Sus scrofa: one gene and its partners. The protein of the gene in region 3 interacts with the protein of the main gene of each other region in a pairwise test. Links are inferred from orthologs where the notes say so. Each region holds a gene or a part of one and is shown on either strand. Other genes may lie near its edges. The genes, in order: XPNPEP1, BICD1, DISC1, FBXO41, RABGAP1, KANSL1 and TFIP11.

Evidence for each region.
Region 1: the proteins of DISC1 (region 3) and XPNPEP1 interact in a two-hybrid assay, tested with the Homo sapiens proteins (2 studies listed by BioGRID and IntAct). The link is inferred for Sus scrofa from reciprocal best matches to the Homo sapiens genes DISC1 and XPNPEP1.
Region 2: the proteins of DISC1 (region 3) and BICD1 interact in a two-hybrid assay, tested with the Homo sapiens proteins (2 studies listed by BioGRID and IntAct). The link is inferred for Sus scrofa from reciprocal best matches to the Homo sapiens genes DISC1 and BICD1.
Region 4: the proteins of DISC1 (region 3) and FBXO41 interact in a two-hybrid assay, tested with the Homo sapiens proteins (2 studies listed by BioGRID and IntAct). The link is inferred for Sus scrofa from reciprocal best matches to the Homo sapiens genes DISC1 and FBXO41.
Region 5: the proteins of DISC1 (region 3) and RABGAP1 interact in a two-hybrid assay, tested with the Homo sapiens proteins (2 studies listed by BioGRID and IntAct). The link is inferred for Sus scrofa from reciprocal best matches to the Homo sapiens genes DISC1 and RABGAP1.
Region 6: the proteins of DISC1 (region 3) and KANSL1 interact in a two-hybrid assay, tested with the Homo sapiens proteins (2 studies listed by BioGRID and IntAct). The link is inferred for Sus scrofa from reciprocal best matches to the Homo sapiens genes DISC1 and KANSL1.
Region 7: the proteins of DISC1 (region 3) and TFIP11 interact in binary tests that used the Homo sapiens proteins (3 or more experiments, as listed by UniProt). The link is inferred for Sus scrofa from reciprocal best matches to the Homo sapiens genes DISC1 and TFIP11.

The regions. Positions count from the first base shown.
Region 1 is NC_010456.5:120,336,996-120,340,495, forward strand, and holds part of XPNPEP1 (xaa-Pro aminopeptidase 1), read right to left. Parts: intron 1,469-3,500; coding exon 1,376-1,468; intron 1,121-1,375; coding exon 977-1,120; intron 1-976. UniProt on the Homo sapiens protein: Metalloaminopeptidase that catalyzes the removal of a penultimate prolyl residue from the N-termini of peptides, such as Arg-Pro-Pro. Contributes to the degradation of bradykinin.
Region 2 is NC_010447.5:41,947,801-41,951,300, forward strand, and holds part of BICD1 (protein bicaudal D homolog 1), read right to left. Parts: intron 1,296-3,500; coding exon 204-1,295; intron 1-203. UniProt on the Homo sapiens protein: Regulates coat complex coatomer protein I (COPI)-independent Golgi-endoplasmic reticulum transport by recruiting the dynein-dynactin motor complex.
Region 3 is NC_010456.5:58,908,455-58,911,954, forward strand, and holds part of DISC1 (disrupted in schizophrenia 1 protein), read right to left. Parts: intron 3,094-3,500; 5' UTR 3,026-3,093; coding exon 2,087-3,025; intron 1-2,086. UniProt on the Homo sapiens protein: Involved in the regulation of multiple aspects of embryonic and adult neurogenesis. Required for neural progenitor proliferation in the ventrical/subventrical zone during embryonic brain development and in the adult dentate gyrus of the hippocampus.
Region 4 is NC_010445.4:69,520,527-69,523,440, reverse strand, and holds part of FBXO41 (F-box only protein 41), read right to left. Parts: intron 2,589-2,914; coding exon 2,470-2,588; intron 2,296-2,469; coding exon 2,137-2,295; intron 1,933-2,136; coding exon 1,817-1,932; intron 1,685-1,816; coding exon 1,622-1,684; 3' UTR 1-1,621. UniProt on the Homo sapiens protein: Substrate-recognition component of the SCF (SKP1-CUL1-F-box protein)-type E3 ubiquitin ligase complex.
Region 5 is NC_010443.5:263,856,097-263,860,300, reverse strand, and holds the start of RABGAP1 (rab GTPase-activating protein 1), read right to left. Parts: upstream 2,801-4,204; 5' UTR 2,706-2,800; intron 2,649-2,705; exon of another isoform or gene 2,444-2,648; intron 1-2,443. UniProt on the Homo sapiens protein: May act as a GTPase-activating protein of RAB6A. May play a role in microtubule nucleation by centrosome. May participate in a RAB6A-mediated pathway involved in the metaphase-anaphase transition.
Region 6 is NC_010454.4:17,086,612-17,090,111, reverse strand, and holds part of KANSL1 (KAT8 regulatory NSL complex subunit 1), read right to left. Parts: intron 2,443-3,500; coding exon 2,260-2,442; intron 1,775-2,259; coding exon 1,586-1,774; intron 1,247-1,585; coding exon 1,098-1,246; intron 1-1,097. UniProt on the Homo sapiens protein: Non-catalytic component of the NSL histone acetyltransferase complex, a multiprotein complex that mediates histone H4 acetylation at 'Lys-5'- and 'Lys-8' (H4K5ac and H4K8ac) at transcription start sites and promotes transcription initiation.
Region 7 is NC_010456.5:44,102,709-44,106,208, reverse strand, and holds part of TFIP11 (tuftelin-interacting protein 11), read left to right. Parts: intron 1-131; coding exon 132-288; intron 289-1,614; coding exon 1,615-1,742; intron 1,743-2,170; coding exon 2,171-2,323; intron 2,324-3,500. UniProt on the Homo sapiens protein: Involved in pre-mRNA splicing, specifically in spliceosome disassembly during late-stage splicing events. Intron turnover seems to proceed through reactions in two lariat-intron associated complexes termed Intron Large (IL) and Intron Small (IS).

The DNA of each region.
Region 1 (3,500 bases), about 61 Mb from region 3:
GCCACCTGTGAAGGGGGCAGGCATCTGTCTTATTCAACCAACACACGGCAGTGTCCTGCACACAGTAGGTACTCATGTGTCAGTTGAACAGAAGCCTTATCAGCCATATATGTTCTCCCCTCTTGTACAAGCAAAAGGTCAGAGCCCTGTTCAGTTAAACAAAATCCAAAATACACTGATGGAAATGTTTAGGTGACCCTGGACCACCCACTGGACCCATCCCCCCAAACTGCAACACCCTCAGGTGAGGGCGTCACAAGGAAAGTGAGCTGGCGGCTGCCTCCACAACCAAACACTGCTTTGAAGATCAGCTCGGGAACGCTGTTTAAAACTTGGCTCAGAGTCTGGGCTGTAATGCTTTCTTCCCAGGACCCCTCTGGGCAACGGGCCCACATTCCAGACATCCCCCATCCACCTCTCCTCTTCCATTTCAACAGCAAGGCTCCCTCCCCTGCAGCCCCACCTCCCAGGCCTCTCCCTCCACACTTCTCACTGTTCCAGAAATCCACACTTGCATCTCCCACAGAACTTGCTCCTTACTCACCAATGTCACACAGGCCCAAGAAACCCACCCACCCCCCAAAGCCTTTAGAGTACAAGGTAGATAGAGGGTGGGGGGGGCCTGGAAAGGTAAACCTACAAATGCTAGGTTTAATGCTAGACAGAAGAAAAGGAAATGGAAGCTAGAAACCTCTAGTCTCTGTTTCCAGTATCAGACATGTCTTAAAGGGGCAGTGAGCAACTGAGTGGTAGAAAAGACATCTCAGTAGCACCCAGAAGAGCTCTGCAAAAATAAACTATGCCAAAGTAGGGGAAATAGGTGACAAGAGTAGAAACAAACTGAACTGCTTGCATCAAATGTCTCAGGGGCTTGGACAGGTCAAAATCCCCCCATCAGCTCAAGCTCCACTTGGATTCAGAAAACCTTCACTCAAGTGTAGGGGCTGAAGGTGAAGGCAGGGCATGGCGTTCCGACCTGTGTAATCCAGGCCCAGGGTGAGGAGGGGCTTGCACGGACGCTCAGGGCGGTCTGTCCAGATCTTGTCCACAAGGTTCTCCTTGACAGGAACAAGGTGGTGGCCAGCGCTTCTCAGAACCTTGGCCATCTTCTTCCAGTAATCTGAGGAGAAGCACACGTGGTCTAGCTAAGAGCGGAACATACTTTACAGACAGCAGCACTTTGAGAGCCTGGCACCTTCTGAAAGGCAATATTCCTGTGGCCCTTTGCTAACCCTTCTCCTCACCTTGACCTCTGTTGTGACATCAATTCATGCTGAGCCCTAAATGTTCCACGTTCCACAAGCAAACAAGGAGGATGGAGAGGCATCTAGAACCCACTTCCTCACCCAAGCTGAAAGGGTCTATGCTTACTCACCTGTAGGAATGATCAATGGGTCCACACCAACCCTGGATCCTTCAGGAAGTACACTCACCAGCCAGTCTTCCTGAGTTGGTGTGTCCTTCAGACCTACAGAGGGAAGAACTAATAAGAAACAATTCCTGGGGGCCCAAGCTCATTGTCCCATCTAGCAGGATGCAATTCACCAACATCATGATAGTTGGTGAATTAATAAAAACAAACTAAAGAAGGTGCTTTTACTAAAGAGAATTGACAGCACTTGGAAAATCTAAACTTCCCTTAATCCTGGAAAGTAATGAGAAGTGTAAGACACTATATAAGGAAAGCATAAGGTAAGACGGTATATAAGGGTGAGACAGAAGGAAAAAAAAAAAGCAGGATTTTCATTAGACCCCCAGTGAAAGGCAACCCGAGAATCACTGCAACGTAGGTATGTGCTGTCATCGTGAAGATCACCTCATCAGCCTCCAGTCACTTTTCCACTACTGGTCATGTGATGAGAGCTTGGGTGGTGATATGGTGAAGGCTGGGGCTGGGAGCCTCCCTGACATCCCACAGCAGGTAAGTGGAATACACACCACAGCAGCCTCCCCTTATCTGGAGGGCAGAGTGGCAGAGAAAAGGCCCTGGGTCTGACTGGAGGGCTGAGCACACGTCTTGGCAGCAGAGAAATCTATCCAAAGATTAAAGATTATAAGAGGAACACACAGAAGCCCAACATCGTGTCCTTAACGTGGTTCCCTGGGCCTCCCACTACCAAGAGCAAACAGCCCTCTCGGTTTCTGCAACACTAGTCACAGGACATCAATCAGCTCTGCAAAAGGAACTGAAGTCATTTTTGATATCCCAGTTTTTCTTTAATCCATCCCAATATCTTGTATATTTGGGATGTATACTTTTTTCATCAGATTTTTGCTAAATAACATTTGGTAAAACATTAAGAGTGAAAGTTCACATATTCTGAAACAGTACTGATTTTTTACCATTTTCCCTGAGTACTGATAATCATATAACCACAGAAAGGAAGTTCAAAGGTTTATAAAGAAATGAGCTCATGAATTTCAGTTCTCAAATACTCAGCTGCACTGAGCTGTTATCTTGCTATTTGATTTGGCCCTATATTTTTTCAAACTGCTGAACAAGCCACTTCTTAATGAAGTTTCTTTAATGCCCCTGGTAGAACTTTCACAGGATGAAGTCATGTTATCTACTAGCAGACAGATGTTTGGCAAAACCCTGGGGGTGAATCACTCCCCAACCACACCCACCAGAAACTCCCCATGCAGGAGAGACGCTGAGGAGGTAGGCTTAGGGAAGAGTCAGCACAGGGAAGAAACTAGAGAGGGGCTGGAAGGGAGGAGCCATCCCCAGGATTGTTCTAAGGAACAGGCAGACAGTATCTGCTCCTCTGACACTCTGACCCCAAAGTGCTATGCATCTAACAGCTGGAGTTACAGCCCCAAGGAGAGATGCCCACACTCCAGGGGCACGCTAAATGATCCACGGGGGTGCAAGTAGAAAGGATCAGAACTCCCATCTGTTCTTTTCCTAAAAAAATAAGCAACTAATTTTTGCTTGTATTTGAAAATACAGATGGTCACTAGCACATCCATATAACTCTTATAAAGTAAATATATATACACGCAGACGCATGAGCCATCAACAGAGGCATGTAATTAAAAAGTTTAAAGGTGAGGTAACCAATCCATTTATAACAGCTATACAACCCTGAACATCTGTGTGTGTGTGTGTGTGTGTGTGTGTGTGTGTGTGTGTGTGTGGAGAGAGACAGAGAGTGAAAGAGAGAGAAAGAACTGGGGTAACATCACCTATAACTTCAACGTTTCTATATTTTTTAAAAGATTTTTGAGAGCGTTCCCTTCGTGGCTCAGCAATTAACGAATCTGACTAGCATCTGTGAGGACGCAGGTTCGATCCCTGGCCTCGCTCAGTGGGTTAAGGATCTGGTGTTGCCATGAGTTGTGGTGTAGGGCACAGATGCAGCTCGGATCCTATGTTGCTATGGCATAGGCCGGTGGCTACAGCTCCAATTTGACCCCTAGCCAGGGAACCTCCATATGCTGCGGGTGTGACCCTAAAAGGCAAATTAAAAAAAAAAAAAAAGATCTTTGAGAAACAG
Region 2 (3,500 bases), on a different chromosome or scaffold from region 3:
GTGGGGCATAGCTACTCTCTTGTTCCATCGATTCAGCACTTCAAACTAATTATTACATTCTGATCTGGCTCTGGCTATAGTTTGTTTTATTCCTCCACTGACCAGGAATCTGAACCCTCATCCTGACAGTTCTAGACTCTCAGAAACATTAAGGGATAAACGAAAGTGTTGCCTAGCACGGCCCATCAGTAGAATGAGGTCACCTGTTTGTTGGCCTTCAGCACTGCTCTCAGTGTGGCGATCTGCTCCCGTTTTGTGCTCAGCAGGGACTTGAGCTTGAGGATCTCTTCCATTAGGGCTTCCTTGTCTTTATCGATCATGGGGGCTAGCTCCCGTGCCGCTGCTCTTTGACGAGACAGTTGCAAGGACCGGTCCACAGCTTTCTGCAGATGTTTGATTTGGTCCCGGATTATGGCATTAAGGTTGTAGATATTCATTGGCTCTTTGCGGATGTCACTTGTGTCCAACACTGGAGATGATGGTGGGGCAGTAATAACAGGAGAGATGGTGGGGGTCTTGGTTGGGCTTGGTTCTTTGCTGGCCTCTGGGTTTTCCTTTGGAACTGGTTCAGGTGAGGTCCTTGTTTCTACTGGGGATGACACACCCCGCCTGGCTAACCGTGGAGACAAAAGTCCCCTGGGGTCATCGGGCCCTTTCAGGCTGCCACTACGGGTGACTCTACTTTGCCTGTAATAGTCCAGCATGACCCTGTTAGGCGTTTCATTATTACACAGACATACATGGTGGTAAAGCTGAGCTAGCTCTTCACTAAATGTCACCAACTCATCCTGGGCTGTATTAAGGGTATTGTGATTTTCATTGGCTATGCTGGTCATCTTTTGCAACTCCTTCTCCATGTGAGCCATCTTCTCTCCGCTCTCCTTGGTGGTCTTCTCAAGGCTTGTAACCTGCTCATCATACGTTTGAATCTTACTCTCATACTTGGCCTTCTCTTCGGTATAGTTTTCTACAGATTTATTATATTTCTCCTTTAAGGCCTTAATTTCAGCTTTCAAATCGATCACCTCAGTTACTGCTACCCTGTATTTGCACTCAAGGATCTCTAAGCCATTGATGTCCACCTCATAGTCGTGAGCCTCCTCCCCTGAGTCCCGGCCCTTCTCCCCATCCAGTTCCTTGAGCTCCTTGCTGCTCTGCAGGCCCCTCATGGCATTAACGTGCTCTGTGAGCCGATGCACCCGTTCGTGCTGCTCTGTCAGCGCCCCCTTGGTGTGTTCCAGCTGTGTCTGTGACTCCTGGAGATTGGCCAGAAGAATGGCCTTTTCCCGCTCTACCTGCAAAGGCAAAAGAAAGTCTCTGAATGATTTCAATGCAATGCCAGTGATGAACTTGACCCATTCACATTTGGACATGCATACACTGAAAAAGTGCAGCAGAGTCAATGTTCCCATTCCTACAAATTGAATCGAAGTATGTTTTCTTACTTCTGCAGTTCTGGTAAGTCAATCAATCAAAAGTACATCATTCCAAAAGAATTATGCTCTGCATATTTACCCATCCAAATTCTTATGTGTTATACACACACTCTCATGAAACTTGAATGTTACTCAAACAATCTTATGTATTTTTTTAATCTTTTAACATCCTTCAGAAAACATAACATGACTTCAAGAGATAGTACTTGGCTTTGTCCTTATTTTGAAAGCGTTAGAGAACATCAGAAAAGTGACTGTTTCAAGGTGCCTATGAATTGTCCTTTCCTTCTCAGAGCCCAACCCTAAGTCAAATTTAAAACTTAAGGCTTTACCTTACTAAATAATACTGAGAACCTTAACTATCCCCTAAAAAATAAGCATTTAACCCCAAAACAGACATGCACTAAATTTGATAGCTTTTAATACAAAAGTCAGAAAATATAAAGTTTTAGGGCTAAAAGAACAACTTGTAAACCATTTCAATTCCTTCAGTTCAAAATAGGAATTTTAAAAGTTAGCAATTAATTTAAATAACTTGGCAGTTATTGTACAGGTAGTAAGTATTATTGTATACTGAAAAATATTCAAGTCTTAACATAAAATGCTGTCTCATTAAATACAAGTATATAAGAAATTGTAAACTGAGACTTTTTTTTTCTTTTTATGGCCACCCCTGTGGCATATGGAAGTTCCTGGGCTAAGGGTGGAATCAGAGCTACAGCTGCAGGCCTATGCCACTGCCACAGTAACGCTGGATTTTTAGCCCACTGAGTGAGGCCAGGGCTCAAACCCACATCCTCAGGGACACTATGTTAGGTTCTTAACCTGCTGAACTACAATGGGAACTCCACCTGAGAAATTTTTAAACCATTTTCTGTCTCTGCATATAAGTAGTTACTATTATGATTTAAAGAGTTTCTACATGCTTATAATGTAACAATGTTTTTCAATAATTAAATAATATTGTTTACATTCTTTATTTTCTCTTGTTTTTTTAAATAAACCACGAGACCTACTTTAAAAATAACAGATTGATGTTGAATGTCGTTACATCTAAAGGAAGTTGTCAAGCTGAACTTTCAAGCTTTCCAGGATTATATATTTTTTTCTTTTTTCTTTTTTTGTCTTTTTGCCATTTCTAGGGCTGCTCCCACGGCACATGGAGGTTCCCAGGCTAGGGGTCTAATATGAGCTGTAGCCACCAGCCTACACCAGAGCCACAGCAACGTGGGATCTGAGCCGCGTCTGCGACCTACACCACAGCTCATGGCAACGCCGGATCCTTAACCCACTGAGCAAGGCCAGGGATTGAACCTGCAACCTCATGGTTCCTAACTCCTTTCCTGGATTATATGTTATATCCCTCCAAATTCTTCTAATTCCTAGGATGCAAGTAAAAATAAATATCAAAAATTAAAATGTAATTAATATTTTAACCAGCACATGACTTTAAGAGATCTGTATCTATTTATAAATTTATATTTATTTTTATGATTCTTTATGGTATTTGATATCCTTCAGGTAATTATTACGTACATTCCTCACTTGGCCAAATTCTAATATGCGTGAATTTCAGGGACCATAGTTTAGTTAAAACACCAGTCCTCTCCAAACAAAGCTCAAATTTCAATGATCAGTATATTAACCATGGGCAATGTGCAAAGTACAAACTTTGCTGCTTCAATCTACAAAATCACCGTGTAAAGACATCATGACCAGTGATCAGTCACATCATTCAAAGTTTATCAGTTATTGGTCACTGTGGATCTGTTAGTTCACTCACAGACAGCAAAGTATGTACTTGTGGCTACAGAAACCAAACATTCCCAAAAAAATAGTATCACATTGAGTTCTCATCGTGGCGCAGTGGTATGAATCTGACTAGGAACCATGAGGTTTCGGATTTGATCCCTAGCTTTGCTCATTGGGTTAAGGATCTGGTGTTGCTGTGGTGTAGGTTGCAGACGTGGCTCACATGCTGTGTTCCTATGGCTGGGGTTTAGGCTGGCAGCTGTAGCTCCAATTGGACCCCTAGCCTGGGAACCTCCATATGCTGTATGTGCG
Region 3 (3,500 bases):
GGAGCTGTAGCCACCAGCCTATGCCAGAGCCACAGCAACACGGGATCCGAGCCGCATCTGCAACCTACACCACAGCTCACGGCAACGCCGGATCCTTAACCCACTGAGCAAGGGCAGGGATCAAACCTGCAACCTCATGGTTCCTAGTCGGATTCGTTAACCACTGCGCCACGACGGGAAATCCCCGCCAAGATTTTTTTTAAAGGATCTCAGAAATAACGTGTTGGAAATTGTCATTTAGAGTCCGAAAAGCATCATGGTACAAACCTCCACCTAGTGCCTGTATCCTTGTATGTGTGCCTCTCAGCCCCTCTCCTTAGGCCTCAGACAGACAACCACAGAAATCTGTCAGTTAGATATCTATGGCCCATCTCTTTTTTTTCTTTCTTTGTTTTTTCATGGCCACACCTGCAGCATATGGAAGTTCCCAGGCTAAGGACTGAATGAGAGTGGCAGCTGCCAGCCTACACCACAGCCACACCAGATTTGAACCACATCTGTGACCTACACTACAGCTTGTGGCAACGCTGGATCCTTACCCCACTGAGCGAGGCCAAGAATCAAACTCACATCCTCATAGACACTATGTCAGGTCTTTGACCCACAGAGCCACAACAGAACTCCCTGTGGCCCATCTTAACAAGCTAAATTATTTCACTGAAAACAAACAGTAATCAAGCACCAGGCAGTAGGCCAGGCATCATGCATCCAAAAATATTTAAGAGGAGTTCCCGTCATGGCTCAGCAGTTAATGAACCCGACTAGTATCCAAGAGGATGCTGGTTCAATCCCTGGCCTCCCTCAGTGGGTTAAGAATCCGGCATTTCCATGAGCTGTGGTGTAGGTCACAGACACGGCTTAGATCCCACGTTGCTGTTGCTGTGGTGTAGGCCAGCAACTGTAGCTCCGATTCAATCCCTAGCCCAGGAAACTCCATATGCCATGAGTGAGGCCCTAAAAAGACAAAAAAAAAAAAAAAAAAGTCTGAGTCAAGTGTAGAACTTGGACCCACAAGCAAATGATTATTAATGTGATGAGCACTGAATGGGGCACATCCAAAGGGCTGAGGGACAGGATGGAAGGAGAGGGTCATCGGGGGTGGGGGGGGGGGTAGGAGAGGTCTCACACAGAAGTGGCTCTGCCACCTCCCTGGCTGATAAATCCCACAGCCAGGCTGAGACAGGGCAAAAGGGCCGGGGCCAAGAACATCGGATATGCAGTAGAGAGCAAAGGAGATCCACTGCTGGGAAGGAACATGAGCCTCACATTTTCACGTACTCCTACCAAATCCTAATGAGACTCGACTTCCCTGCTTACGCATGCATATCCCCACATGCACACGTGCACACATGCACACAGCCCAGATGGAAAACACAGTCTCTGAACAGGATGAGCCAATGGGTTGCCACAAAGCCTCTCTGCGCGGGTTTCTCTGGGGACTTCTCAGGGTAGAACAGCCCTGTCTACCCCCAGCTGTACCCCCTCAGATGAGTGGACAGCAAGTCATGATGCTGGAACTTGCTTCTATACCGCCTGTCCCAATTTCCAAAGCACTCACATTCCAGCTTGAGCCACAGAACAATCTTGTGTGATGTCAGCATCTCTAAATAAGGAAACTGAGGGCCTGAGAAGTTTAAGGACCAGAAACAAAATCAGTAGTCCCTGCTGCTGAGGATGCCATGAGCACTGCGCATGCAGAAGCAGCTCCAGATCGCCCCCAGTTTGGGGCATCATCATCTTTATATCCACACAGCGACTGACTCCACCTCCCCGGCTCCCTGTCCCCCTTCTCCTGTTTAAAACAGAGCAAGGCTGAGCTAACCCTGCATCACCCAGACCAGAAGCTGCAGAGGAGCCTGAAGCCAACAGAGAGCGAAGCAAGCATCTAAGGGACAGAGGATGAGAACGAGACCAGATTAGAGTTCCAACAGAAGGAGGAGAGATGCAAGTGTAGCAACATTTTTCCATGGCCAGTCACCACAGGGGCTTCCAGTGGGGACTGGGGCAACCCCAGAACCGCCGTTTCCTGCGGCCCCCCCCCTCCTCAGTGAGACCATCCCAGCCCACAGGCTCGGGACACACCCACCTCCAGCCGCCTCCGCTGGCCCTGCAGGCAGTGCAGCAGCGCAGGCTCACAAGTGCGGAGCAGTGGGTCCCAGAGGTCAGCATCCTGAGGGTGGCTGCCCTCGGGTCTCGAGGGATCCAGGGAGCAGAAGGAGGCAGCGTCCATGTCCAGCAAAGGAAGCATCTCGCACTCCAGTCTGGGGCTGTCCCCCGCCATCTGGGCAGCATCTGCCAGGTCCTGAGGAGCCTTGAGGGGTGAGGCGGGAGAGAGAAGCTGAGGGTGTTCATGGGGCCCGTCCACACCAGCAGCCTTGGCCACTGTCTCCTCGGGGCTCTGATGAGAAGCCTCAGCCTCTCTGGGTGGCGGACAGCCTTCTGCTTCTCCACGTTCCCCGGCAGAGACCAGGGAGAGGCGAATGAAGCTGAAGTTGGAGGTGAAGACATCCTGAGAGCCAGGAGGGGTGGGGTCGACCTTGGGGCCACTTCCGAGGCTGCAGTTGGTGCCACTTCCCTCCTCTGGGGATAGAGAGCCTCTGGCCCAGGTGTCCAGGGCTCCTTTCCCACAGGCTGCTTCCCGACTCGGGCTCGGAGCCTCCCAACTGTCCATGGATGGTGGCGCCCCCTGGCATATGTTGTCCCCGGAGCCACACGACCTAGTCAGCCTGCTGGGCAGGGCGCGGCCACCTCTGGGCTGAATCCCTGAGAGACCCAGGGTTCCTCTCCCTGTTGTCAGAGCCAGGCCTCGGGGGCCCGTGGAGGTCCAAGCAGAGGCTGCTGTGCTCCAGGGAATGAGGGTCCCGGTCGAGGGACCCTGCCCCTGGCCTCCAGGGTCACGGCCACATGGTCCTGTCCTGGGTTCAGAGTGCTGGGTCTCCTCACTGCATGCCCCTCCCTGGGCCCGGAGCAGACTGCCCACTGCTGGCGAGAAGAACCTGATCCGGGGCCCAGCTGCACTTCTCATGTAGCCTGGCCTCCGTGCCAGCCGCCTCCTCCGAAAAGACGCTGCAGGTGGTGAGCCATCTTGGCGGCCTGGGAGGAAAGAGGACACGCACCATCAGCACACACATCTCCCCAGCTCAGCTGCAGCTGCATTTGGAGAACGTCCCCGGGTTGGGGGCAACCCTCGGTGCATCTGCCAAAGAGATGCTGGTGCAATGGCCATGGGGCCAAGCTGCTACCCAAACCCTGATGATCCCTGGGAAGCGTCTGCCTGGGATGTGTAGAAACTGCACAGCATCCCAACCCCTCTATTTCCAGAGCAGCCAGCACTGCTGTGAGTTATACTGACAAGACTGCAAGCGCCTCAGAGACCCAACTACGGCAGCACATTCTGAGCCTCCAGCATCTTGCCTGTTGCTCTTTTAGGCACACAGAGCTTTCCCCCTGGAGCGGCATGGAAAGCAAGCACTCTGAAGCCAAACACCAGCACACTCCCA
Region 4 (2,914 bases), on a different chromosome or scaffold from region 3:
CATGGGGTCCCAGCTCTGGAGGCCTCGTTGGAGGGAACCCCAGGGCAGGTCTTGATGTCCATGCCAGGTTGTGGCAGAGAGTTGGGTTCCTGGAAAAGACTGAGAAACTAGAGGAGCCCAGCCCCAGCCAGGACCAAGGGCCTAATAATCAGGGCTGAGAGCCCATCCTGTAACAGGAGAGAAGGAACCCCTAAGATGGATCTAGGTTAATGTTTGAAAGAACTTTCCAAATGAAGGTTGGCAGGACCCACAGCTTTTGTATCACTGTGGGAGTCCTGAGAGGAGGAACTGGGGACACCTGAGTCTTTAAAGCCATAGTGCCAGGACCTGGTCCTTTGGGAACCATGCAAGGGTCAATGAAGGCCCCCATTTGCGTATTAAGCCAATGGTCTTGCTCAGGTCCCAGCACTGCCCCACGCAGAAGATGCCCAACACAGCCCTCAGCCCGTGGGGCCAGCAGAGACTGGAGGGAGCAAGTCCGACGAGGGGGGCTCATCCTCATTCTTGGCCCCATGGGTCTGGCTCCCTACCAAGGCCACAACTGCAAGCAAGCTAGCCAGATGAGAACCAAACCAAACCACGCCTCTTCTGGGCTCCTCCAGGTCCTTGCACAGAGGGCAGCCTAGTGACTCCCTTCCCCAGAGCCTTGGGGACCCAAAGGCCATCAGATTCCTGCCCAAGCACCTGGGTTAGAAGTACATTCCTTGAGGACATGATCTGTTTCTCATTGCTGACAGCAGTTCCCAGCTGGGACCTCGCCCCTCCAGAGGCTCAGGGCTGGTGGAAGATATAGAAACATGCACCTTTTAGCTCTGAATTTAGTTCTGGTGTGTCGTGGGGTACCTGGCAGCTGGGAGGGGTCTTTTTTCTACAGCAATAAAAACACTAAGTGTTCTCAACCTGGCAACAGCCCCCTCTTGGGAGGGGTGGTCTTGATGTCCTGGGGAAAAGTCCTGGATGAATGTTTTGTCCCTCAAGCCCACTCCCACTCACTCACTGCGCCCCCACCTCCCACTCTGGGCGGACCACCTTCTCAGACCCCTCTGCCTGTCTCTTAACCCTGGAGAATGCAGACCCAGAGCCCTGAGGGCTGCCTGAAGGGGGAGCCCCACGGTGGGCTGGGACAGGGCTGGGGGAGAGAAGAGCCCTCCTTGCAAGTCTGAGCTGCCGGGTGGAGCAACCCTCTGGCCTGGGGCCCAGCAGAGGCCCCCGACCAGGAGGCCGGACCTCCGAGAGGAGAGGCCTGCCCCAGCCAACTGAGCAGCTGAGGAGCCCTGGGTGGTTGGTTATTGCAGATCTTCAGAGCGATGACACCGAGTGCTGGTGGTGACCCAGCTCTTCTCTGGCTGTGCCCAGAAGGCTGCTCCAGCTGGGGGTGGGGGTAGGGGGAGTCAGGGGACAGCTTCTGTCTGAGCTCCTGCCCAGGAGGGGCTGTGCTCAGGGTCAGGCCTGTTGCTCCACTGTCCCAGCAGGAGGACAGGAGACTGACAACCCCTCCCTGGAGGCCGGGGAGGATATCACTAGGCCTCCAAAGGTCAAGTCCAAATCAGGGTCCCTCTGGAGGTCCAAAGAGAGCGCCCTGGCGTGGGGCTGGCAGGGGCCCTGCCGCCCCCAACCCGGGTTAGCAGCCGCCTTCCACTTTGACGTGCAGGATCTTAGAGAAGCCGGGCCTCCGTCTCAGGGCCTGCAGACCAAACCTGTATTAGTTCCCCTCGGGGCCAGACAGGTGAAGCCCTCCCTTCAAACACCCGAGTCACCAACCCCAGCCTATGGATGCCACTTGGGGTCTTGGACGGCCTCATAGCCAACGGCTCACCTGGAGTTTTGTCACCATGTCCTCAAACAGCTTCTGGGCCTCAGGACTGCTGGGTTCTTTGAAATAATCGGCAATCCCAATCTGGACCACAATGGACTTGAGGTTCCGGCAAATGCCTGGGAAAAGGTGGGTAAGGTGGGGGCCGGCGTCTGACCTGGGCAATGGGGCTGGTTCCTCTCCTTTTACTAAGTCAGAACCCTCTGAGAGACAGTTGTGTGCCAGGCACGGGGAGCGGACCCATGCTGCCCTGGGTTCAGCGGGGCAAGGGGGGGAAGGTGGAGGGTGGGGTCAAAGAGCAGAGGGTGCCCGACATCGCTCACTGTTGAAATGCAGCAGGGCCTTGGGGGTGACAGGGGTGGCCGTGAGCACCAACATCTCCAGTCCCTTCAGGCCTTCCCGGCAGACTTCCGCCGCCACCTCCTGGGTGATCTCTGACACGTGGTCCAGCTCCAGGACCTGCAGCCGCATGCAGTTTCTCGCTAGGAAGAGGGAAAGGAGGGGAGGTCCTGCTGACAAACACCCCAGCTCACCTCCTGCCCAGCGCGGGGCTACCGCCGCCACCCGGCCTGCAACCCCGAGCCCGGCTGCGATTTCAGTGTTGCATCTATGCCTGCCTCCCATCACCCCAGACCCCGGTCCCAAAGAAGACTCACCGAGTGATGCCAGGCCCTGCACCCCACAGCCAGCACCCCCGACCCCCAGGGCCCGGAGGTGGGGCCAACAGCGACCGATCATCTGCAGGCAGCGGTTACTGAAGCGCGTGGGCTGCTGGCTGGAAAACAGGGTCGAGGGAGGGCTGTCAGGGAAGCCACTGGCTGCAGGGTCCCCCAAGCCTGCTCCTCTTTCGGGGCCGGCCTGCGAAGCAAGGGCCCAACAACCACCCAACTACTCAAGTCAGAAACCTGGGATCATCCATGACCCCTCCACCCTCACCTCCTGCCAAGACCTGCAGAATCTGATTCCTGAATAACTTCAATCTGCACTTCCGACCACCATCAACAGTTATCTGATTATAACCCAGTCTCTGTGCTGGCTCATCCTCCACGCTGCTGACACTGAGCCACTCATGCCCACACTTTCTCACTCAGTCATTCAACA
Region 5 (4,204 bases), on a different chromosome or scaffold from region 3:
TAATATATACTATTTAATGTCAAGCATGAACTTAAAAATAAGTTTAAGGCTTTATTTTTACTATTTTGTGATCCACAGCAAAAGAGACCTGGGAGGAAAGTCAGGCCTTACAAAACTCTATTAGTTCTGATGATTATCTCAAAGTACTATGGTTAATTTGACAAAAGGGAAACTAACAGGTTAAATTCTATAAACTAAAGTGTTCATGACTTGCAAAATGCCATATTTGGTCAGAGAGTCTTTGCACATGACAAGAAACAAGGCGGCTTAAGGGTCAACAAGAGTGGTTCTAAGTTTAAGGGTCTATCCAGCATTGTTTTGACTCACAAGTTTTCCAAAGAATAAGGATCTCAGGATCAACACAAAACTGGAGTTGCAGGGGCAGACCAGGTAATCATTTTATGCAAAAAAGAAACAGCTGTTAAAACTATGTTTTATTATGTACATCCACAGACAGCTAAGTCCTTAGCCTTGGATTTTCTCGCTTTAGAATCTAACTATGGAAAACCAACAAAACAATACAAAGCACCCAAATGTCACGCTAAACTCTGCTTGGGTTAATTTAGCACTGTGTTAACATTTGAGTTCTATCTCCAAAAAAGATTAATAAGAGTTTTATACTCATTTATTTCATATGCTTGAAAAGTGTAATATCTGATTATATGAAAAACTACAAAGACAATACTCAAGCTGTATTATGTTAGAACCTCAGCACATCAGTATCTATAAAGACAACAGTTACAACGATTTAAGCTAATTATTTTCTGAAGCCTGTACTCAAAGGTAACTTGTTAAAACAATCAAAGTGAAATTGTGAGACCTTCAAAATAGGCTTCATCTGAGCTAGGAAACACTTCAGCTGGCAACATGCTCAATAAAAGACAATGACTTCTTTAGAAGAACCTGGGCTGTAAAGTCTAGCTGGAAATATACTCATAGAAAATGACTTCTTAAAACAATCTGGGGTGTAAAGTTGAGATGTTTATAGGAAATCATGTCCCCTCATGTAGATAATGTACATAGTACACTTCTTTCAATAGGCAGTAGAAAAAATAGGAAACAGGTGCCTACACTTTTACACAGTCCCACTAAACTACCTTTTAATCCAGATTAAGCACCTGTAAAGTGCTAATACAACATTATGCCAAAAAATGCCGAAATGCATACAGTTGGCAGGTTACTTACCCAAACATACACCTTAATAACAATGACCTGACTTAACTGTAAACTGAGTTATAAAACTAAAATAAAAAGAAAGTGTACGACATAGCAATCGTTCGATTTTAATTACAAATTTGAGTTGATAATCTGTATTAAAACTATATGTGAATCTTAAATGTTACCAATAAATACAAGCCAATCATGGATTCAAATTTTATTTATGCAAATTGAGGTCTACAAAAGAAGATCATAACGAACACCCGATTCATTTTCAGTTTTTATAAATAAACTCGATTTAAAAGCTTTAAATACATATTAAAACACCACCCTATACACGCTAGAATTAAGACCAAGAGGTCCTTCATTAGGAAAAACAAAACGTATGTGCACTCCCTTGGCACTTAAGTTTTTCAACTTTTCAGACTTCAATTTTATGTGACCAACTCAGTTCAAGTTACTCTCCATTGCTTTTTTTCCTTCCTAAATAAACAAAGCAGCTGGAAACAGACACACACAACTTACTACTCCAGTCACATGTACGTGAATACAGGTGTTTATTGAATGAAAATATCAAGTGAATTGAGAAACCCTGCCCCCGACAGTTTTTCTTTCACTGACAGCAAACAACAAAAGTTCCCAAATTCAAGTTGGAACATGATTTTAAACTAACGGAGCACTTGTAGCGTGAGCACTAATAACATGATCACTTAACACGGTCGGCTAGGACAGTTGTTTTCAAGAAAAAGGAATCCTCGAGTAACCGTAAGTATGGTGATGTCTGTAAAAGCAGGTGCAGACAATAACAGCGTGAGAGCAAGAACACCAAAGTACTACCAGGCAATGGACAGCGAACTCCTGGAAATCTGTAGTTAATCACCCCCAGGCTCAACACTTAAAACCCGGAAAAGTGTTGGGAATCAAAACTCAGAAATGAGGTATTGTGGGCAGATACTTGAAGTATCTGGGGAGATGGGATACCAGGGACACTTCCATTGCAGGTGCAGAAAACAAGACAGCAAGGCCAACACGAGAAGGCAGACCGACATTAGAATAAAGCAAGTCTTTCAAATTAGGCGCAGCCCAGGAAGCTAGTCTGAGGCCGAAGCCAGCCCAAGTCACAGATACAGGCCCAGCGGGCAACGGGGAGAAACTGAGGCGGAGGGAGCAGCCGAATTCCCAAACAGGACCTGTCCCAAAACACGAAAGTCAACAGACAAACCGGCTTTGCTGGGGGGGCGAGAGGCATGGCCACAAGTGCAGGACGGGGAAGACAGACACCCACCCAGACAGGGGGAACCGGTTTGGGCAGGGGCTCCGGAGCGTTGTCGCTTGCGCATGCGTCCTCCCCCCTACACCAGGGCTCCCCCTCCCCCCAATCACGGCTGCTCTCAGAACCCGGTTCGTCGAGGAGCTGAGCGCAGTCTCGCCTGCCCTGCCCCTCGGGATGAGAACACAGCTTGGCTCCCCGCAAGGGCTGTCGGAGGACACCCCCGGGCTTAGGGGATGGGAGGGTGGGAGGAGGAGGAGGGGAAACGCGGCCCTACCCGACCCGCCGTCTCCTCCTCCGCCGCCCGCCGTTCGCCGTCCCGGAGGCTCCGCCGCCTGGGCCTCCCCAGCCGCCCTGCCCCCGCCCTCCCCGCCCCCTACTCACGTGAGAGCGGCTCCTTCCGCCCTCCGCCCCGCCTCCTGCTCTGTTTCATAGGTCTGCTGCAAAACCGTGTGGCCCAATTGGCCCAACAGCGGGCGGCGGGGGCGTACTTCCTTTCCTCGAAGCCCCACCTGGACTTTTAGCCCGCCTCTAGAGACTGCGCCTGCGCGGAGTTTGCACTCTACGAGCTGGACTCAGGTGGGAGGTGGACTCTGCCATGTTCTTGCGCTTGGACCGGCGGGGGTTCTTTCTACATCACCGATTGGAAGCAGGACTGGCAAGGGGAACAGGCTGGGTAGCGTCTGTTGCGTCTGAGAGGGTGTACAACCCCCAAACGACTGGTGCTGGGGCAAGGAATATCCTACTCACCTTTAACGTTTAAGTGCTGTTTCAAAGTGGCCCTTAATGATACTTAATTCACCTGGCCTTTATTGACCGCGCAAAAACGTGCCAAGGATTGTGATGGGTCCTTTTATAGATCGCTTGGGTTTATCACAAACATTACGAATGACGATTTTTGTCATTTTTAGAGTCCAGCTTAAGTAACAAAACTTGTGACTTTCAACTCGGGAGGGCTACTGGCTACGACAGCTGCTTGAGATATGAGACATAAAAAAAGAACAGAAATGAACAAGGTTGGAATTCCCGTGGCGGCTCAGCGGAAAGAATCTGCAATCTGAGTAGTATCCATTAGGATGCAGGTCAGTCCCTGGCCTCGCTCAGTGGGTTAAGGATTTAGCTTTTCGGTGAGCTGTGGTATAGGTTGCAGACAGGGCTTAGATCTGGTGTGGCTGTAGCTGTGGCTGTGGCAAAGGCTGGCAGCTGTAGCTCTCATTCGACCCCTAGCTTGGGAACCTTCAAATGCCACGGGTGAGGCCCTAAAAAGAAAAAAGGAAAAAAAAAAAAGGAACAAGGCTGTTTCAGGGTGGTACTCAAAGATGGGGCTGGGATTTTATTTAAAATCATTAAAGGAGTTCCTTGTGGCTCATGGGGGTTAGGAATCCTGCGTGGTCACTGCTGTGGCATGGGTTCAGCCCCTATCATGGGAACTTCCACATGCCCTGGGCTGCCAAAAAAACAAAACCATTCAAAAGAGATATACAGAGCAAGGGCAATAGAATGAAGTTTAAAGTGCCTGATAAGAATAAATTTACAACGTAGTTGGAAACAAAAGTAAGGAATAAAGGTGCTAATTAAGTCTTGACAATTTATGAAATTATTCCTCAGCCTCTCCTTCACTCTTCTTTCTTTATTCAAAGCATATGCTCTTTTCCTGGTAAATGAGTCATCTGCACCATTTTCCTGTGGCTATTGCATCCACATCAACCAGAAAAAAATCAAAAAGAGCTGTGCTCTGTTGCATCCTCTTTGTGACTTCTCTATTATAATTAGATT
Region 6 (3,500 bases), on a different chromosome or scaffold from region 3:
GGCAAGTCTCCGTTTCCCTGCCAACAAAATGGGAATCTTTTATACCACCTACATGTCAAAGGGCATTACAGGACTGAATGAAGTAACGCATCTAAAATAACTTAGCACTGACACAATAAGCACTATAGTAGGAGCCTTTGGCTGTTACGATGAGGACTGCTATATAAAGGACCCTCTTAACGGGCACAAAGCAGCAACAGGTATATGTGCTCAAGGAGGCATAAGAACATGAACATGCGTCTAGAACGGTCGTGCGAACAGCTTACAGGGTGGAGTGTGGTGCTGCAAAAGCAGATGGAGGTCAGACAGCTTGCCATCTGGGTGTCCTACATGTCCGTGTGGCCTGCTGAACCTGTGAGGCTGTTCTGTACACCTCAACGCATGGGCTCCGTGTGCCCCTTCCCCTCCAGGCGCCCTAACACACCAGTGTAGCACCCCCCAGGACAGTAAAAACACAGAAAACAAGGGTCTCCAAGGCCCACAGGCATCTCTCTTGCATCCCTCCTCTTGTGTTTACTTCTTGGACCAATACAGTTACAGCCATGGTATCACTGAGTTCTTTGTGAAATACAGACCCACAGATCTTGAAGAGCCATAGATCCCTTTAAGAGTTTGGATTCCCTTTGTGGCTCAGTGGTTAATGAACCCAACTAGGATCTGTGAGGATGCAGATTTGATTCCTGGCCTCGCTCAGTGGGTTAAGGACCCAATGCCCCAAGCTGCATTGTAGGCTGCAGACACGGCTCAGATCTGGTGTTGCTGTGGCTGTGGTGTAGGCTAGTGGCTACAGCTCCAATTTGACCCCTAGCCTAGGAACCTCCATATACCCTAAAAAGCCAAGGAAAAAAAAAAAAGTTTGTCTTTACAGCAAGCTTAGCTCAGATTCATCCCTACTATGAAAAAACAACCCAAGGAAAACTACATAACAGAAGACCAAATAGCATGACTTTGACTTAAAAATGACAAATGTCATGATGAGTTGAGTCCCTATAATTGCCTTGGCTCTGACAACCCCTTCTCCACACTGTCCTCCAGACCCACTTGAAAGAAGTGTCACCACAGAGGGGCTGTCCGGCCAACTCCCCACAGGTACTTACAGACGTGCTGGCTGTAACCTGTGGGCTAGAGCTGGTGGGTGCAGAAGTGTCTGATGAGGCGGAGAGCTGTCGCACCAAGGGACTGTGTGGTGGATGGTGGGTGGCCGCCAAGTAGCTCGAACTGCCCATGTCCGTGTGATGCTTCAACACTGCAGAAGTCAACAGAAAAGAGGAATGAATATGTGGCTACCTTGACCAGCTCGTCTTCCAGCACAAGCAAGGAATGCCAGCAATACACAGAAAGGCAAAAATGCTTTCTAAGCCTAGAGGATAAAAAGACGAAGCAAACTGGTTGGCAGGAGGTGGGGGGTGGAGCAGAGGTTGCTGCAGCAGTGAGAGCAGTGACCCACACTCAGAGGCAGCAGGGCCTTCTACTCTGCCTTTCTAGAGAGTGCAGGACAAAGCTAGGGACAATGACAAGAAGCCCAGGCTGCCCCGGAAAGCCGAGCAGGTGCAAATGCAGGCAGAGGTGCCGGGCCTGGCCCTACCTTCACTTCTCTCAGATGAATGGTCTCGCAATCTCATTTTGCTGTGGTTTGGGTCATGCACTGGTGGCGGTGGGTTGAGCAAGCGCTCTGCTTTTGGCGCTGTCACTCGATCCACCATAGGCACAGCCCCCACATCGTCTAAGTGCTGCCTGTGGGTCCTGTCAGGCCGGGTTTGGTGATGGGACAGCTCTGAAGAGGGGAACAGAAAAAGAGCTGTGAAGTATCTTTTCTCATTCTTTTCTTATTTGAGTTCCGAGCTCCTGAGTTCTCTCTAGGCCAGTAATAGACAAACCAAGGGCAGCACAACAATCCTCTGGGACTTAAGCTTCCAGCAAATAACACAATGGCCAGGATAGGCCAGGGAGCCCACAGGGCCCTCAACCAGAGAAAAATGCAACACCAGACTAAGAAGAGAGCCTGCCCAATGGACCCAACTTCATGTCTCCACTGGCTGTTCACTGAGCCCCAAGACACATGGTGTCTGGAATGATTTTCCAAGTCCATCTGAGAGCATCCAAGACAAGTAGAAAAAGACGACTGTGAGCTGAATTTACACAAGTCAATTGCCTCTCCCAACCCCAACACAGTGCCATTGCCAAGGCCACATCAATAACCGGAGACCATAAAAGGAACAGAACTGTAATTGGAGGACTCTCTGCATCCCTGCAACTTACTCGCTGTTGTTAGGAAGGAGTTGACCAACTTGTGCCTGTCTTTACGAGTTGGATCTGGCAGACTGCCTGGCATGGGTGCTCTGTGCTTAAGTGAAAACTTTTTTGGAGGTTTGATTTTGTCAAAAGGCTTGTTCTGCCACTGAGATTTCAGCATGCTCTGGAAGTGCAGGCTTGTGGGAATATCTGCAAGGAACAGAACACCACAGGTTAGTCCAGACCCCAGGCTCTGAGGCATGTTCACAGTAACCCCAGCTCTCCAGTGAGCAAGACCCTCACCACATCCTTTTATTTGCCCGGTGGCAGGGTAACCAAGCAGGACAAGTGCTATCACGTGGAAGACCTGTTTATAGGAACTTTACTGAAAGTCACTCTTATTCATAGGCAAGTCGCTGTTGCCTTTTATTCTCAAGTTCCAAATAAAAACAAAGTCTAAAACCTTTTGTTAGATGATGGATTTTTTTTTCTTTGTTGGTATGTTCTAACTGTTAACTTTACCGTTTTGAAATACTGACATACATCCTGTTCTTATTCTTCAAGAAACAAACATTTCAAACCTACTTCTATCAATGTAAAGCTAATCAGGACACATTCATTCAATGGCTATGTTCTGTCTACTATTTCATTAGGTACTGTGCTGGGTACTAAACCTTCCCCTAAACAAGAACTACACCTTCTTCCCCTCCTTCCTCCAGACCTCCACCACATCCCACCTGCAGTACCTAAGTTTGTGAGCTCATCAGTTAATATTCAGTATCACAAATTAGTCTTCTAGACTTTTTTCTTTTTTGCCACACCTGCAGCATGCAGAAGTTCCCTGGCCAAGGATCAAACCCAAGCCACAGCAGTGACAATGCTGAATCCTGAACCACCAGGCCACCAGGGGAGCTCCTCTTTTAGGCTTAATTATACTCTTTTTGAGGGTCATTACTGTTTCTTTCATCTTTTCATTTTGTTAGTTTCCTTTTTTATTTTCCTGAGACTGTGGCACTGAGTAATTTTTTATTTTTTTCATTTTTAGGGCCACACCTGTGGCATATGGAAGCTCCCAGGCTAGGGGTCAAATCCGAGCTATAGCTGCTGGCCTACACCAGAGCCACAGCAACATGGGATCCGAGCTGCACCTGCGACCTACACCACAGCTCACGGAAACACCATATCCTTAACCCACTGAGCAAGGCCAGGGATCGAACCTGCGTCCTCATGGATGCTAGTCAGATTTGTTTCTGCTGAGCCACGAAGGG
Region 7 (3,500 bases), about 15 Mb from region 3:
GTAGGTTTGATTGGTGAGATATTTTTCATAATGCTCTGTGACTGCCAGGTCATGCTCCCATCAGCTAAGCTTGCTTTATTACGTTTTCCTTCTTTTTCTATTAACTAAACTTTGATTTTTCTCCTTTTCAGGGTGGTAACTTTAAACCCAGTCAGAAAGGTTTTGCAGGAGGAACCAAGTCGTTCATGGATTTTGGCAGCTGGGAAAGACACACAAAAGGAATTGGACAGAAGCTGCTTCAGAAGATGGGCTATGTCCCTGGAAGGGGCCTTGGGAAGAATGCACAAGGTGTGGCAGTCCCACCCCACAGTCTTGCACTTGCTGTCAGGCAGAGGTGGGAAGAGCAGGGAGGGCAGTGGCCTCCTCTTTTCTGCTTTTTCACTGTTCGGAGGGCTGGGACCCTGCAGCCTGTTCTGCCAGCACAGATGCTGTGCTCTATGCTTCATGCTTTATCAGAACTCAAGTTACATAAAATACTTGTTTCGGCAGGAGGGAGAGGTTAGGGTTTAAATCAGGCTGACAGGCTGAGAACAGGCTTCTTTCTAGCCTGCCCGGTGTTTCTAAAAAATCAAACTGGTTGCCAATATTTAAAAAGCAGACAGTTTCACTTCCATTCTAGAGTTGCCTGGCAGTGACTGGTTTAGCTGAGTCCTTGCTGTCCCAGTCAGCACCCAAGGCCTTCTCCTGGAAGCTGCCTCCACACTCCCCTTTTACTCCAGCCCACTTTCCCTGTTCATATTAATGTTCCTGGACCCTAAAGGCATATGAGTTTGGACTCTTGCTCATGCGGGGGCAGGACAGGTAACTATTTTTTAGTTTTGCAAAAAGCCAGTTACCTGTCCTTCAGGAATATCAGTAAAACATCAGGTGTTGCCTTTTGTTTTACAACACTCACCAGTGGGATGTCATCAGTAGTATTCTCTGTAATTCAGATTCAGCCCCTAGGTATTATAAAGTTAGATATGGATTGTGGGTTGAAAACATCAGCCGTATGAAGAATCCATGGACTTGAGTGGCAATGGCATGGGAGTGAGGGAAGTGTGCTAATTGGGATTTCAACAGTACTAGCTGGAAGGGGCCTGGTAGGAAGTCTGGGGTGTGGCAGTTCTTCACTGAAATGCAGTCCTGTTTGTAAACTTTTACAAGAAAAATACTTATTTTCCAGGCTTAAACTTGTTATAGCTCATAGGAGATATGAACTCCTAAGTAAAATAGGTGGAGTTTCATATTAAATGGCAGCTTCACCTTACTTCAGTCAGAATCAATATAATATCTGAATTAATGGGCTTCCAAATGAGCAGAGTATAGAATCTAATTTGCCTGAGATCCCAGTTATAAAATATTCCTGTCCACTAAAAAAAAACCAACAAGTCCAAGTAGAAATGGAAGTCTGTATTTAGGATACAAACAATATCAGCACACTGTTTTGTGGCAGCACACACGCTCAGAAGCTTCTGGCCACACAGGAGCCAAACGGTGTCGTGAGGGCAGAAGCATGTTTCCTTCCTGGGTAGCATGTTACTGTGTGTGAGGACCAGGAGTGTGGTCTCCCTGAGTGGCTCACTCACAAGAACTGCTGTGATCTGAAGTCTGTCTTTTGCTGCAACTTGCCAGGTATCATTAACCCAATTGAAGCCAAGCAGAGAAAGGGGAAAGGCGCGGTGGGGGCGTATGGCTCAGAGCGCACCACCCAGTCCCTGCAGGACTTCCCCGTGGTTGACTCTGAGGAAGAAGCTGAGGAGGTGAGTCAGGAGATGGGCTGGATTCTGTCTCTGCCTCTTGGGACTGTTGTTTGCTCATTTGTTCACTCGGCCAGTGTTTAGAGGTCGCTTGCACAGCAGGTGCCAGACACTGCTGAAGGCTGGTGTCCTGCCGTGACCAGGCGTGGAGCCTGGTGGACAGGGAGCAGTAAAAAAGTAACCACGGTGTGGTTAGAAAGAGCAGTTGTGCCAGGAAGTACTCAGAAGAAAGTAGGTTGGCTATGTGGGGAAGGGGTCTGAGCCTCAGTATTTGTAAGGCAGGGAGTGGGCATCAAGCAGTGTCTTTGGATGGTCTTAGTGTTATGGAGGGACGGTGCTTAGCATGGTGTTCTGAAAGCCTCAGTGTCCCCACTTGCGGGAAAAAGTGGCCCTTTCTTGTTGTGATGGACTATGTTATATTCTTGATTCAGGAATTTCAGAAGGAGCTGAGCCAGTGGAGGAAAGACCCCAGCGGAAGCAAGAAGAAGCCCAAATACTCTTACAAGACAGTGGAAGAGTTAAAAGCCAAGGGCAGAATTAGCAAGAAGCTCTCTGCTCCCCAGAAAGAGATTTCTCAGGTCAAGGTATGGGGGGCCCATGGACACCTGGTCCAGGATGGAGGCTTGCAAGACACACACACAGTTAACCACAGCAGCATCAGTCACCCAACACTTGCTCATAAGGTTCCTGTGGGTCTTCTGGGCAGGCTTTCTTGTGTGTCCTGCTTTCTTGCGTGGCAGTAGCCTCTGCCCATTTCCTGCACTCCCATTTAGGCTCATTGTTGTTCCTACCCTGTGCCAGGTGCTCTTCACTACACTACAGTGCTAAATCCAGCACTCCAGCTCTGCAGCTTGCTGTCCGTGAATTCAGTGATGTTCGTGGTATTCTGTTGCTTCATCTTTAACTTTTGTGGTTTTGTTGAGAGCAGGTTAGCCTTATCTTTGTGGGGTTTTTTGTTTTGGTCTTTTGTCTTTTTAGGACCGCACCCACGGCATACGGAAGTTCCCAGGCTAGGGATCTAATTGGAGCTGTAACAGCTGGCCTACGCCAGAGCCACAGCAACACCAGATCGAGCCGCGTCTGCAACCTACACCACAGCTCACAGCAACGCTGGACCCTTAACCCATTGAGCGAGGCCAGGGATTGAACCTGCAACCTCATAGTTCCTAGTCACATTCATTTCTGCTGCGCCAAGATGGGAACTCCTGTTTTAGACTTTTTAAAATGATAGATTCCTAGAAGTACAGTCACCAGGTTAGAGAATAGGAAGGTTGCTCTCACTCACTGTGACCAGGAGTGGGCCCTCAGCCTTGAACTTAACATTAGACTTTTAGCCTCTGTTCTGTCCATGCAGTCTCTGCGTTCTCCCTCACTGTCCCAAGTAGCCAGAGAACTGTGGTGACAGGTATCTCTTGTAGTTTGTCGTAGGAGATTGTGTGTGTCATGGAACCCAAAGTCTGGAGTGGGGTTCTCAAAGGTCAAGGTGTTGTGTATCAGGTTATTTGGGGACCTGGTAGGAAATGCAGATATTTAAGATACAGCTGGAGGTTTTGCCTCAGAGATCTGGCTGGGCCCGAGGGCTCATGCTTGTTATCTTTCCCCAGGTGATGCTAACTTATATACTCTAAAGTGGTGGCGGTACTTCTGTTACTGTATAGACATGATCACATCTCCTCAGTCTTCTTCAGACATTGAAATTAGCTCATCTCCTTGGGTGCCTTTGTGGGTTTTGTATGTTTCATGTTATTTTAAAATTAAAAA